Caenorhabditis elegans: one gene and its partner. The protein of the gene in region 2 purifies or fractionates together with the protein of the main gene of each other region. This does not show direct contact. Each region holds a gene or a part of one and is shown on either strand. Other genes may lie near its edges.

The links.
Region 1: the proteins of sir-2.3 (region 2) and pyc-1 purify together in Caenorhabditis elegans (affinity purification with western blotting, with the first as the bait; one study listed by BioGRID). This does not show direct contact.

The regions. Positions count from the first base shown.
Region 1 is NC_003283.11:11,817,087-11,823,994, forward strand, and holds pyc-1 (Pyruvate carboxylase 1), read right to left. Parts: upstream 5,280-6,908; 5' UTR 5,267-5,279; coding exon 5,165-5,266; intron 5,115-5,164; coding exon 4,908-5,114; intron 4,864-4,907; coding exon 4,437-4,863; intron 4,391-4,436; coding exon 3,774-4,390; intron 3,628-3,773; coding exon 3,281-3,627; intron 3,234-3,280; coding exon 2,473-3,233; intron 2,429-2,472; coding exon 1,755-2,428; intron 1,695-1,754; coding exon 1,452-1,694; intron 1,194-1,451; coding exon 1,044-1,193; 3' UTR 697-1,043; downstream 1-696. UniProt on the Caenorhabditis elegans protein: Pyruvate carboxylase catalyzes a 2-step reaction, involving the ATP-dependent carboxylation of the covalently attached biotin in the first step and the transfer of the carboxyl group to pyruvate in the second.
Region 2 is NC_003284.9:13,329,846-13,334,481, reverse strand, and holds sir-2.3 (NAD-dependent protein deacylase sir-2.3), read right to left. Parts: upstream 2,469-4,636; 5' UTR 2,467-2,468; coding exon 2,340-2,466; intron 2,288-2,339; coding exon 2,185-2,287; intron 1,991-2,184; coding exon 1,850-1,990; intron 1,806-1,849; coding exon 1,725-1,805; intron 1,512-1,724; coding exon 1,397-1,511; intron 1,346-1,396; coding exon 1,163-1,345; intron 907-1,162; coding exon 793-906; 3' UTR 636-792; downstream 1-635. Other genes in the region: F46G10.4 (Fungal lipase-type domain-containing protein), read right to left, coding at 1-86, 136-235, 324-371; NAD-dependent protein deacylase sir-2.2, read right to left, coding at 3,380-3,493, 3,655-3,837, 3,884-3,998, 4,458-4,538, 4,582-4,636. UniProt on the Caenorhabditis elegans protein: NAD-dependent protein deacylase. Catalyzes the NAD-dependent hydrolysis of acyl groups from lysine residues. Plays a role in oxidative stress resistance.

The DNA of each region.
Region 1 (6,908 bases), on a different chromosome or scaffold from region 2:
CAGGATATTGAACTTTGGATCATCTGATCATGAGCCCAGAACCGTTGAGCCACAGAGCCGTGATTTTGAACTGACAATAAATAAATAAAAATCTTTTTGAAGTATATTCTGTTCACGTAAAAACTCTTAACCATATGAAATAAATAGTTGGGCTTACGTTGAAAATCAACTGAAATCAGTAGTAATTTTCAGACGCAAATATCTCGAGTTCTAGATGTCCGAGGCAAAAATGGTCTCTTACGTTGAAGAAGTACATAATATCAGCTATCGAATGGCACTAAATTTGTTTTAAAATTCTAAATTCTCTGAAACCATTCCCAAGTAAAATAAATAAAACTTTAAAACATACGTTTTCTTTTCAGATATTTCAGTCTCTATAATTTGTGTTTTGTTTTTTTTAAATTAAATGGCGTAGTGAATAGTACTATTTACACTAACGTAGGTATTATGTAGAAGTCTAAAGATAAACATTTTCCCCAGCAAACACGAAATTACTGTAACTCCTGTTGATTTATGAGTCTCCATTGCAACCTATTTTTATGTTAAAAATCTTCTCAGCAATAGTGGTCAGTAAAGTGAGACGAGCTAGCTCGCAGTTCGCGTGGCGAGACCAATGCGCGTATGATATGGCGACTCTTCCCATCATTAGATTTCTACGTAATAATTGATTTTATCGAGTTGCTTTATCGAGTTGCATTGCTCTTCGGTGAGTTTCAGTGATAAAATTGAGAGAGAAGTGAACGAGTTTATATTCTACACAAAGACAATGAGCACCCGATGCAATAAATACTTTTTCTAAGAAAACAATATAAATGCAAAAGTGGAGGGAAAACGAAAAATTACTGGCAATGAAGACGTTTAGAAAATTTTGGGGAGGCAATACACAGAATATACACATTGAGATGGTTCGAATGGCAAAGAGAAGGTGGTGGCTAATCATTCTATATAGCACAACGCCAAATATAATTTCGATGTGGCGGAATTTGTGATGGTGAATGGAATTAACAAAAAAAGAGACAAAATGCGAGTTTATTGATGTCAGTTCATGGTTCAACTTCAACTACCAAGTCTCCGGCACTACATTTGGTTCCTTGTGGTGCATGGATAGCCTTGACGGTTCCAGCAATTGGAGAGTCGATGACCATCTCCATTTTCATGGCGGAAAGCACAAATAGGGGTTGCTTCTTGGTAACCTGAAAAGAAATAATTCCTATATTCATTTTTTATGCCATCATTTTTTTATGTGATTTTTGTGTAGGACAAGAAGAAAAAACGTGGGAGGCATAAGGCTATAAATTTATCTCTTTCCGTTTTTCCCTACAATTTCCGTTGTGGGGCCCACCGCTTCTGAATTCGTCCCATTTGTCTTTTTTTGTTTTTCAAAGAAATTCAGAATACATATCCCGGATGCATGATTGATTTATTACATCTTTAGATATGCGTTGTATTACCTTGTCGCCTTCCTTGATTTTCAGCTCCAAAACATCTCCTGGCATTGGTGCTCCAATATGTCCACGGACACCTGGGAGAGCTCTTGGGCGAGTTACAATTTCCTTGGAAGCTTCCTTGTCAACCACGAAGATACTTCTCATTTGTCCATTGAGATCAAAGAAGACTTCGCGTTCTCCACGCTTGTTTAGTTTTCCTTCAGCGAGCAATTGAATTGCAAGAGTTTTTCCACTCTCGATTTCAACCTGAAATAAAATTCATAAGTCGTGAAATTCAGAAATGTAGATTAATGTAGAATCACTTACATCAACTTCTTCCGCAATCTCCAATCCAGTCAAGAAGAGTCTCGTTGGCAGCTTATCAACTGGTCCATATTGTTGACGGAAAGTCTCAAACTCATCGAAAACCGTTGGGAACATCGAATATGACATCACATCTTCTTCAGACAAAGTACGTCCATGTTTCTCTTCAAGTTCGACCTTCACAGCATCTAGATCAACTGGCTTAGCATTTTCTCCTGGCCTTCCATCGACTTTTGGCTTTCCACGAAGGACTTTAGTTCTCAATGGCTCAGGGAATCCATATGGAGGTTGTCCGACATTTCCTTGCATGAAATCAACGACACTTTTTGGGAAGGATAGATCATCGGCACGGTCGACAAGAGTTTCGCGAGTCAAGTTGTTTTGCACCATAAACTGAGCCAAGTCACCGACAATCTTGGATGATGGCGTAACTTTAATTATGTCGCCAAGAACAAGATTAGCTTCACGATACATACGCTTGACTTCATCGAACTGTGGCCCAAGTCCGAGAGAGAATGCTTGGAATTGCAAGTTCGTGTACTGTCCTCCTGGAATTTCGTGCTTGTAAACATCGGCATTTCCACTTTTCATGGTGGTGGCACATTCGAATGGAGCATAGAGTTGACGAGTTGACTCCCAGTATGCAGAATATTTTGAAATGTCATCAAGAGAAAGACCTTAAATATAAATTAGACATTTTTCAAACGATATTGTAACTCACCAGTATCATGTTTAGTTCCTTGAAGACTAGCTACAATAGCTCCCATTGAAGGCTGAGAAGTCATTCCACTCATGCTATCAACTGCAGCATCGACCACATCAGCTCCAGCTTTGGCACACTCAAGCATAGCAGCAACTCCAGCTCCAGATGTATCGTGGGTATGAACGTGAATTGGAATATCTGGGAACTTGTCTCGGAGAGCGCCAATCAACAACTTGGCAGCTTCCGGTTTCAGAACTCCAGCCATATCCTTGATAGAAAGAATATGCGCTTGAGCTTTGACAAGTTGATCAGCCAAGTTCAAATAGTATTTGAGGTCGTATTTGTCACGAGACTTATCGGTAACATCTCCAGTGTATGCGATAGCAGCTTCAACAACTCCACCGGCCTTTCCAACGGCTTCCATTCCGACGAGAAGATTTGGAAGATAGTTCAGTGAATCAAATACACGGAACACATCCATTCCATTTTTCACCGCCAACTCGCAGAACTTGTAAATAACGTTATCAGGATAATTTGAATATCCCATAGCATTGGCACCTCGCAGAAGACATTGGAATGGAATATTTGGAATCAGTTTGCGAAGAGTTTGAAGACGTTCCCATGGACACTCGTGGAGGAAGCGCATGGAAACATCGAAAGTAGCTCCTCCCCAGTTTTCAAGTGAGAAGAGACCATTGAATGATTGGGCAACAAAAGGTGAAATAGCAGCCATATCATAGGTACGTACTCGTGTTGCAAGAAGAGATTGATGTGCATCTCTGAAAATGTGAAATTAATATATGTTACTTTCTTTTTGAGTTTATACCTGAATGTAGTATCAGTGATCATACATCCTGGTCTACTGCGAACTTCCTTTGCAAACTCAGTTGGTCCTCTTTGAACAAGTACATCACGAAGTCCAGTCGGCGGTTTGGCTCCAGCTGGGATGTATGGGATCGGAGGAGAAACAACTGCTGGTTTCAGGTCAGTAGCAAGAGGAGTAGTTGGACCGTTCACCTTAACTTCTCCCAAATAGTTCAACAACTTTTGAGCACGGTTTTGGCTTGGTTTGAATTGGAACAACTCTGGATGCTCATCAATGAAATACGTATCGACGGATGCATCAAGGAAGCTGGGCTGGCGAAGAACGTTGAGCAGAAATGGGATGTTTGTCTGAAAAAGTTTAAAGTTTAGTCATTGATCAGCCATCAGGCAGAATATCAGTCAGTGGCAATGGGTTTCCTTATCAGTGAGAAAATGGTGATAGCTATCAACATGATTTGGTGTACTTTGATTTCATTTTTTGATTGAATTCTCACCTTTACGCCTCGGATACGGAACTTTTTGAGGGCACGAATCATTTTTGCGGCAGCGTTCGGATGATTTCTAGCCGATGCAATTACTTTGACCATCAAAGAATCGTAGTGAGGTGAAATGACTGATCCTGCGAAGGCAGATGCTGAATCAAGACGAATTCCCATTCCCTCTCCGGATCGGAAAACTTCAATTCTTCCGGAATCTGGCTGGAATCCTTTAGCTGGATCTTCAGTTGTGACACGACATTGAATAGCTGAGCCAGTAGTTTGAATAGTTTCCTGTGAAAGCTTCAGATCATCCAGAGATTTTCCTTCGGCGATACGAATTTGAGCTTGGACAAGATCCACACCAGTGATCTCTTCAGTTACTGTATGCTCGACTTGAAGACGTGCATTCACTTCGATGAAATAGTAGTTGCCCTTCTGATCAACCAGGAATTCGACTGTACCAGCATTTTGGTATCCAACATGTCTTGCAAGTCGAAGAGCGTCTGCCAAAATTTTCTCACGAACACCTTCTGGGAGAGCTGGCGCTGGAGCAATTTCAACAACCTTTTGATGACGACGTTGCACTGAACAATCACGCTCATACAAATGAACAATATTTCCATGATGGTCTCCTGAAAAATATATTATGTAATTATAATAGTTTCCGCTGAAACTAACCAAGCAGCTGAACTTCAATATGTCTTGGTCTCTCAACAAACTTTTCAACGAAAAGACTTCCGTCTCCAAACGCAGCTTGAGCTTCCGAGTAGGATCTACGGAATGCCTCTTCAACTTCTTCCAATTTATCAACACGACGAATTCCACGACCACCTCCTCCATAAGCGGCCTTCAAAATAATTGGTGTACCGTACTGCTTTGCAAATTCGACAGCTTCATCAGCAGTTGTAATTGGTCCAGGAGTTCCTGGAACGACTTGAACACCAGCTTCAATGGCAGCTTGACGAGCAGCAACTTTGTCTCCCATTCGAGCCATAACGTCGGGGCTAGGACCAATGAACACTATTCCTGCATTTTGACAAGCAGCTGCAAAGTCAGATCGCTCTGACAGAAATCCATATCCGGGATGAATAGCATCAATGTTGTGCTATAAAGGGTACGATAATCTTGGTCAATTTTTGTCCTACAAACCTTCAGGGCAGTTTCTATAATCTGGTCAATAGTCAGATAAGCAGCAACCGGTGGAAGACCTTTTCCTACAAGATAGGCTTCGTCAGCTTTCAGACGATGCATCGAGTTTTTGTCCTGCTCGGCGTAAATCGCAACAGAAGTTTTGTTCAATTCTGTGAGGGCACGGAACACACGGATTGCAATTTCTCCACGATTGGCCACCATAACCTGAAAAAATTTCCGAATTTATCTTCAAGCACGAAAAAGAAATGAAATACCTTGTTGAATTCTCTTGGTTTGATAACTCCATTGGCATAGTTACGATAATGTGTCTGTCGGACGACATTAGCGAAGATCGGTGGGATGCGGGAGAACCGCATCGTTGTCGTTTATCTGAAACATGCATAGTTTTGAGACGGTGAACCTATTCGGTGAATACAACCAATGAAGATTATTCAATAATGATAGTGTGAACATCGAAGAGACACAGAAACATTACTTTGGTGTACCTTCTACTGTGTGAGAGCAGAAAGCTCAAGAACGAATCGAAGTGTGGTAAACTTCTTCGGAATTCGGACATTATTTGAGATTTTTAGAAGTATCCACGTTGACCACGTGATAAATTAGAACGGTGAAAAATGTGAAAGGTCACGTACGCAGAGCAATAGAGATTTTGAAAAGACCAAGAGGTCACACCACATGAGAGTGAGTGTATGTATGAAGATACATTAATTGATTTAAAAATCATTGTTCATTCTCCATAGAACCACCTAGTGATATTTGTAGAGAAGAATAACAACAGTACTGATAACATTGATAGAATGATAGGAGAAGGGAAGAAAATAAAATATTTTGTTTTTCGATTTTCTAGGTTTTTTCGGTGAAATGAGATGTGAAAGAAGAACCACGTGGCATACCCAAGACCAGACGAAGAACCTAGAGAAAATAAGGAAAATTGAAAAAAATAAAAGTAAACAAAGAAGGAAGTTATCAGAAACTACAGAAACTACAGAAGCCACAGAACGTTCAACATTCAGTTTTGGATTTTTGTAAAATTAGAAAATTAGTTTTTAGAATGGTTTATGAGCATGCCATATTAAATATCTATTCCGCACGGCCAAATATTCCAATATTTTTTGCTGTTCTATCGTTAGTTTTTTTTTTTGATATCTCGGGGATTAGTGTTAATGGTGCGTCCATAGTCTGCGGAAAACGGGGAATTCCCGCGTGCGGAAGCGTCCATAGTCTGCGGAAAAAAACAAGGAGTTTCTCGCTTTGTTATTGGTCAATTTCAAAATAGTGGGCGTGTTCAACCAATTAGAGGCTGTAAAATTTTAAGCTGAGCAATGGGAAAACAAGAAACAACAGCTGATTGGTTGGCCACGCCTACTTTTTGAATTTTGAGGAAAAAAAAAGCGAGGAACTCCGGTTTTTCCGCAGACTATGGACGCTTCCGCACGCGGGAAATTCCCGTTTTCCGCAGACTATGGACGCACTATAATAATTTTTTTTAATTTTGCGGATTTAAAGATATAAAATGTCTTAGAGTATCACAATCAAGTTAAAAATTTGAAAAAAATCTAGATTCAAAGAGAACTAGATCAACACTTTGACCATGGCTATGAATTTGCGGCGACAACAAACTGATAGCCGAGAGACGGTGTTTGTGTCATTTTGTCTTATCAGTCGACTCGGGTGGACACTAGAACACAAAAACTGAGACGCAGAGGAGGAGGATAAATGATTTAAACTTCAGAACCTTCGATTTTTCAAAATGTCAAAATGTTCAAAACTGTTTTTGGTCGTAGTGGGATAGTTAATTTTCGTAAAGGGCTGAAAATAAAAATGATTTAATTAAGTTCACTTTAAAGATCAACATAATGATATTTAATGATCAATGAAACACATTTAATAAAATTAAACTGGCCAATAAACAAGATTTGGATTCCATTTAACGAAAGAATTTCAATGATAAAATTAGAAATTCAGGGTTGGAAACTGAAAGACTATGTGAAAATTGTT
Region 2 (4,636 bases):
ACACGGCGTTGACATAACCATTAAAACATGAAACTCATCAGTAGGAAATGCATAATCTAGACATGACTGACGAGCTGTTACATTGCCTGAACATATTAATTTTTTTCAAATGGGCAAAATTTCCTCTAAATTTACTGGCGTCCGCATATGCTGCTGCTGCTAAATTTAAAAATTGTTCTGCTTCTACTTCCCTGTACAACGCATACCCGGATACTGAATGAAAGAATGTGAGGAGCTGAAAGAAATGCAATAAAGTTTTATTCCATATTAAATCTAATTCGTTCAAAAATGAACACAGCCGAAAAACAAAGAAAAACACTTACCAAATAAACGACGGGTGTGATAGTTATACTTTTGTTACCAGGCTCCATGTGCAAAAATGATAACCGCTTGTCCGCCTGCCTTTGTGTTTGATTTTTGCCATCACGAAGCGCTTATCACCTTTCTGACTGGACTTTTTCTCATGTGTAGAAGACAAGGCAGTAAACGACAGAAAAATAATCGATGTTCTTAGAGAACGTCATTTTTTTTTCTGTCTGACAGGTATTTTTCTTGTTAGTTTTGTGAGTCAGGTCCCTCACTGATATTACCGTTTTGTGTTCGTTTTTTTGGAAAAAAATGGCGTACGTGTAAACTTCAACATGTACATATCGTTTATTGTATTGTTAACTTTCTCTAGAACATAATCAAAAATAATAATTTTCAATTAAATGGAAAACGGTGAACACCCTTATAAATCATGAGAACATGAGAACATGAGAACTTAAAAATTAAAAAACCACACATCTTGCTTTACATTTCTTTCAAAACATCCGAAATTCTGTAGTCTAACTTCATTGTTGCCATCTGATCAGCTCTAGTAGGTCCAATGTTCACGATGAAAATTGGTTTGTTTTGCATATGGGCCTGAAAATTAATTTTTGACGAGTGAGACAAGTAATTTTATTTTAGGAATGTATAAACAGTGTGTAGCCAAAAGTTTTCAAAAAAAAGCCAATAGGAGCGATTTTTATATTTTCTCAGAATTTCTAGTACACGAAGCGAAATTTTGCCAAAAATGTCGAATGTGGTATGATTAAGTAAGTCGGTTTTTTTGACTGTTGTATTTGACAGCAATTAAAAAACATAGTCGCTCTGATTTTTAAAAAAATTGTTTTCTCACATGATTGACAATCTGATATCCGGAAAGCACTTCCAACGATGTCCCAAGTGTTAAAACTCCATTGCATTCATTCACCTTCTTGCCACAAACTTTAATTTTGTCAGTGTTTAGGTTCTCCCCAAACAACGTTACATCTGTCTTCATAAGTCCCCCACAATTTAAACACTCGGGAATCTTGAACCCCTGTAAAACTTTTTTATGCAATTGTTTCTAATTGTTGAAAAAAAAACTTACTTGTTCGCTACCCAACGGCAAGGCAGTGTCAGCATCTAGCTCTTGCTGTCCAGGAGATACAAACTGCTCTTTGAAGCCAGGATTTGCATAATTCAGGCGGTCTTGATACGTTTGTCTGAAATTATAAAAGATGATTTACGCGAGCAATGTCAAAAATAGATATATGTAACTGCTTGTTATTAATAATTTTGAAACAACTAACATTCATTCTATTTTTATCTCAATTCCATTCAAGTACAAACCTGTTTTGGTTCAAAATTGTTCCAAGTATAAAGTTCTAAATTTCAAATTTCAAAACAGTTAGTACCAATTTTTCTTCATTCCTTACCTTGTCTCGATGTATTCACATGATGTGCATTTTACTTGAAGAGCGTTGCCATGAAGTTCCGTTATCATTTTCGAGCCCGCTCTTAACTTTTATTTTAATATTTTCATTTTGTTAACTTCACTTACTTTAAGTGAAGTCCATCCACATTTTGTGTGATCAACCAATGAAATTTGTTAGCAGCTTCCCATTTTGATAAGGCGTAATGATTGAAGTTAGGTAAAGCTTGAGCAAATCTTGGCCAATTCAAGTAGCTACGAGACCAGTATCTGAAGACAAAAGATAATTAAGCATGCCAAAAAGAAAATGTGTTACTGAATCATAAAACCTATAAAATTGTAATGATATTAATACGTGAGAGCAGTTATGAGCCTTTTTTCAAAGTCTTTGGCACAAAGTTTTTATAAATTGAAATATCACAATTGCAAGAGTAAGGCCCAACAAATTTCAAAAGTACTCTCACCTCTGCCTACATTTCTTTGATTTCATAAAATCCTGGAAATAAATTGGTTCAAGTGCAGTCTTTGTGTACAATCCGACATCTTTCGATCGATAATCTGGTATTCCTGAAAATGAAAACTATATTGTACCTGATTGTACCTGTACCTGAAAAAAAACCTGATTCTGTAGAAATTCCTGCTCCAGTGATGATGAGAAGCTTATCCACAGTCCCTACCAGTGACTTAAACTTTTTTAGGGAGTTTTCACAAAGCTCTGTCGTATGTGGTACATACTTTCGTGCCATTCCTAAAATACTGTCGAAGATGAATTGATTGTCAAAACAAGTGAAAATAATGAAGAACAATAAGAACAGTTTTTTTTTTAATTTTATTCATAAACGTTATTGAAAAATTATTCACAAGAGTTTCGAGTCCGGATCTTACAGCTAATTGTGTTGAATCACGTTCATTCAAAAAACCCTTAAAAATATATCTTTGGATGAATCGCGCTCTATTTGCACAGGCGAGAGAGTAGAGTAGAGAAATCCAGTAACCTCTTCCTGTATTGCCAAGGAAAACGCCGGCAGAGAGTGCGGGTCCGCCGAAAATGAAAGAATAATGGGAGACCAACCAACAGCTGGAAGATTATCTAGGTACAGAACAAAGTCCACAATTTTTTTGATAGCAAGGTTTTAAAAATAATTGTTTAATGAGGAAATAAAATATTTGACAAAATTGATAATAAAAATCTAACCTTACGAAGGTGTTGAAATAGTTTAAATCATGTCATCAAAGCAATATGGTGCGATGTTTAAAATGATCATCCCATTGGGAATCTTGATTTAAAAAAAAAAACTACTACTAAAGAAGAATCATAAACTTTAAAAAAGAACTAAGCAAGTTATCCTTGATGAACAAAAAGTGATTATATTCTCATAATATAGAAAAGCTGTTTGGTAAAATATTTGAGTCTATCTCCTAATTCCAGGATTTTGTTTTGCCAATTTTGTTACTTTTTTTGCAGGAGTAGATGATTTTTTTTCTGAAAATAACGCATTTTCACAATCATATTCATCAAAAATTGTTTATTCCAATTAACATGAAACAAATTGCCATTCTATTCAAACAATAAAAAAAAGTTTCAAAATACAAACGGAAAGTACCCAAAAAACTGTCGTCAACACAATATTATCAAATTCCAAAACTACACGTCTTAGTCTACATTTCTTTTAAAACGTCAGAGATTTTATAATCTAACTTCATCGTCGCCATGTGATCAGCTCTTGTAGGTCCTATATTGACTATGAAAATTGGTTTCTTCTTCATGTTAGCCTGAAAGTTTACATTTTTATTTTTGAAGGACTCTTAACAATCTAAAAAAGTTGTTTGAAATTTTTTTAAATAGTTAATTTTTGTGCTACCCACGGAAACATCAAAACGTTTTTGTTTTTAGATAACCAAAAAAGTCATCCAGTAAATCCCATTAGCCTTACATGATGGATAAACCGAAATCCAGATAACACCGCCAACGACGTGCCAAGTGATAAAATCCCATCACATTCATTCACTTTCTCGTAACAAAAATTGACTTTGTCCATGTTAACGTTCTCTCCAAAAAACGTGACATCTGTCTTCATAAGTCCCCCACAACTTGGGCACTCGGGAATTTGGAAACCCTGAAAACACTGTATTTTTCGACTTATTCCACCGTAAAACACTTACTTTCTCAGTTCCCAACGGTAGAATAATGTCACCATCTGGCGCCAGCTCTCCTGGAGCCACGTGTTCTTCTTTAAACCCAGGATTTGCGTAATCAAGTCGGTCTTGGTACGTTTGTCTGAAGTTGAAACGTTTTAATTTTATGAGATCCCTTATAAAATAAACGGTTATTTTTACGTTCACAAACCGAAATGTGAAGTGGCCTATTAGATACATTAAGAGGCGTCCATACTCTCTTAGATTGTCTGCCATTCCACACATTCAGGAAGTGGAGTGAAATCGAAAAGTCAATGAAGTTACAATGATCAAACATTATCAATTAGGAAGAATGTACGTTAATTAAAATATGTTATAAGGAAGTTCACCGATACATTTTAGAGGAAGTTTCAACATTTTAGTTAAAATGTTATCTTTTCGTTTTTTTTAAATCCAAATATGTATAACAATCCTTTTTTCTACGCTACATGTGATTGTTCAATTTTAGTAAATCATCATTTGTTTTAGCTTTTATCAAACAATTCCTCATTGAGAAATTGTTTTTTTTTTTCCATAATTGAGTTGATTCAGTCCAATGTACCTTGATTCAATGTAATCACATGTTGTACATTTTACTTGAAGAGCACTGCCATGAAGTTCCGTTACCATTTTTGAGCCCGCTCTGAATTAAAAAAAAATTTTAACTCATTTTTGACCGTCTTTACTTTAAGTGAAGCCCATCCACGTTTTGTGTGATTAACCATTGGAATCTATCGGAAG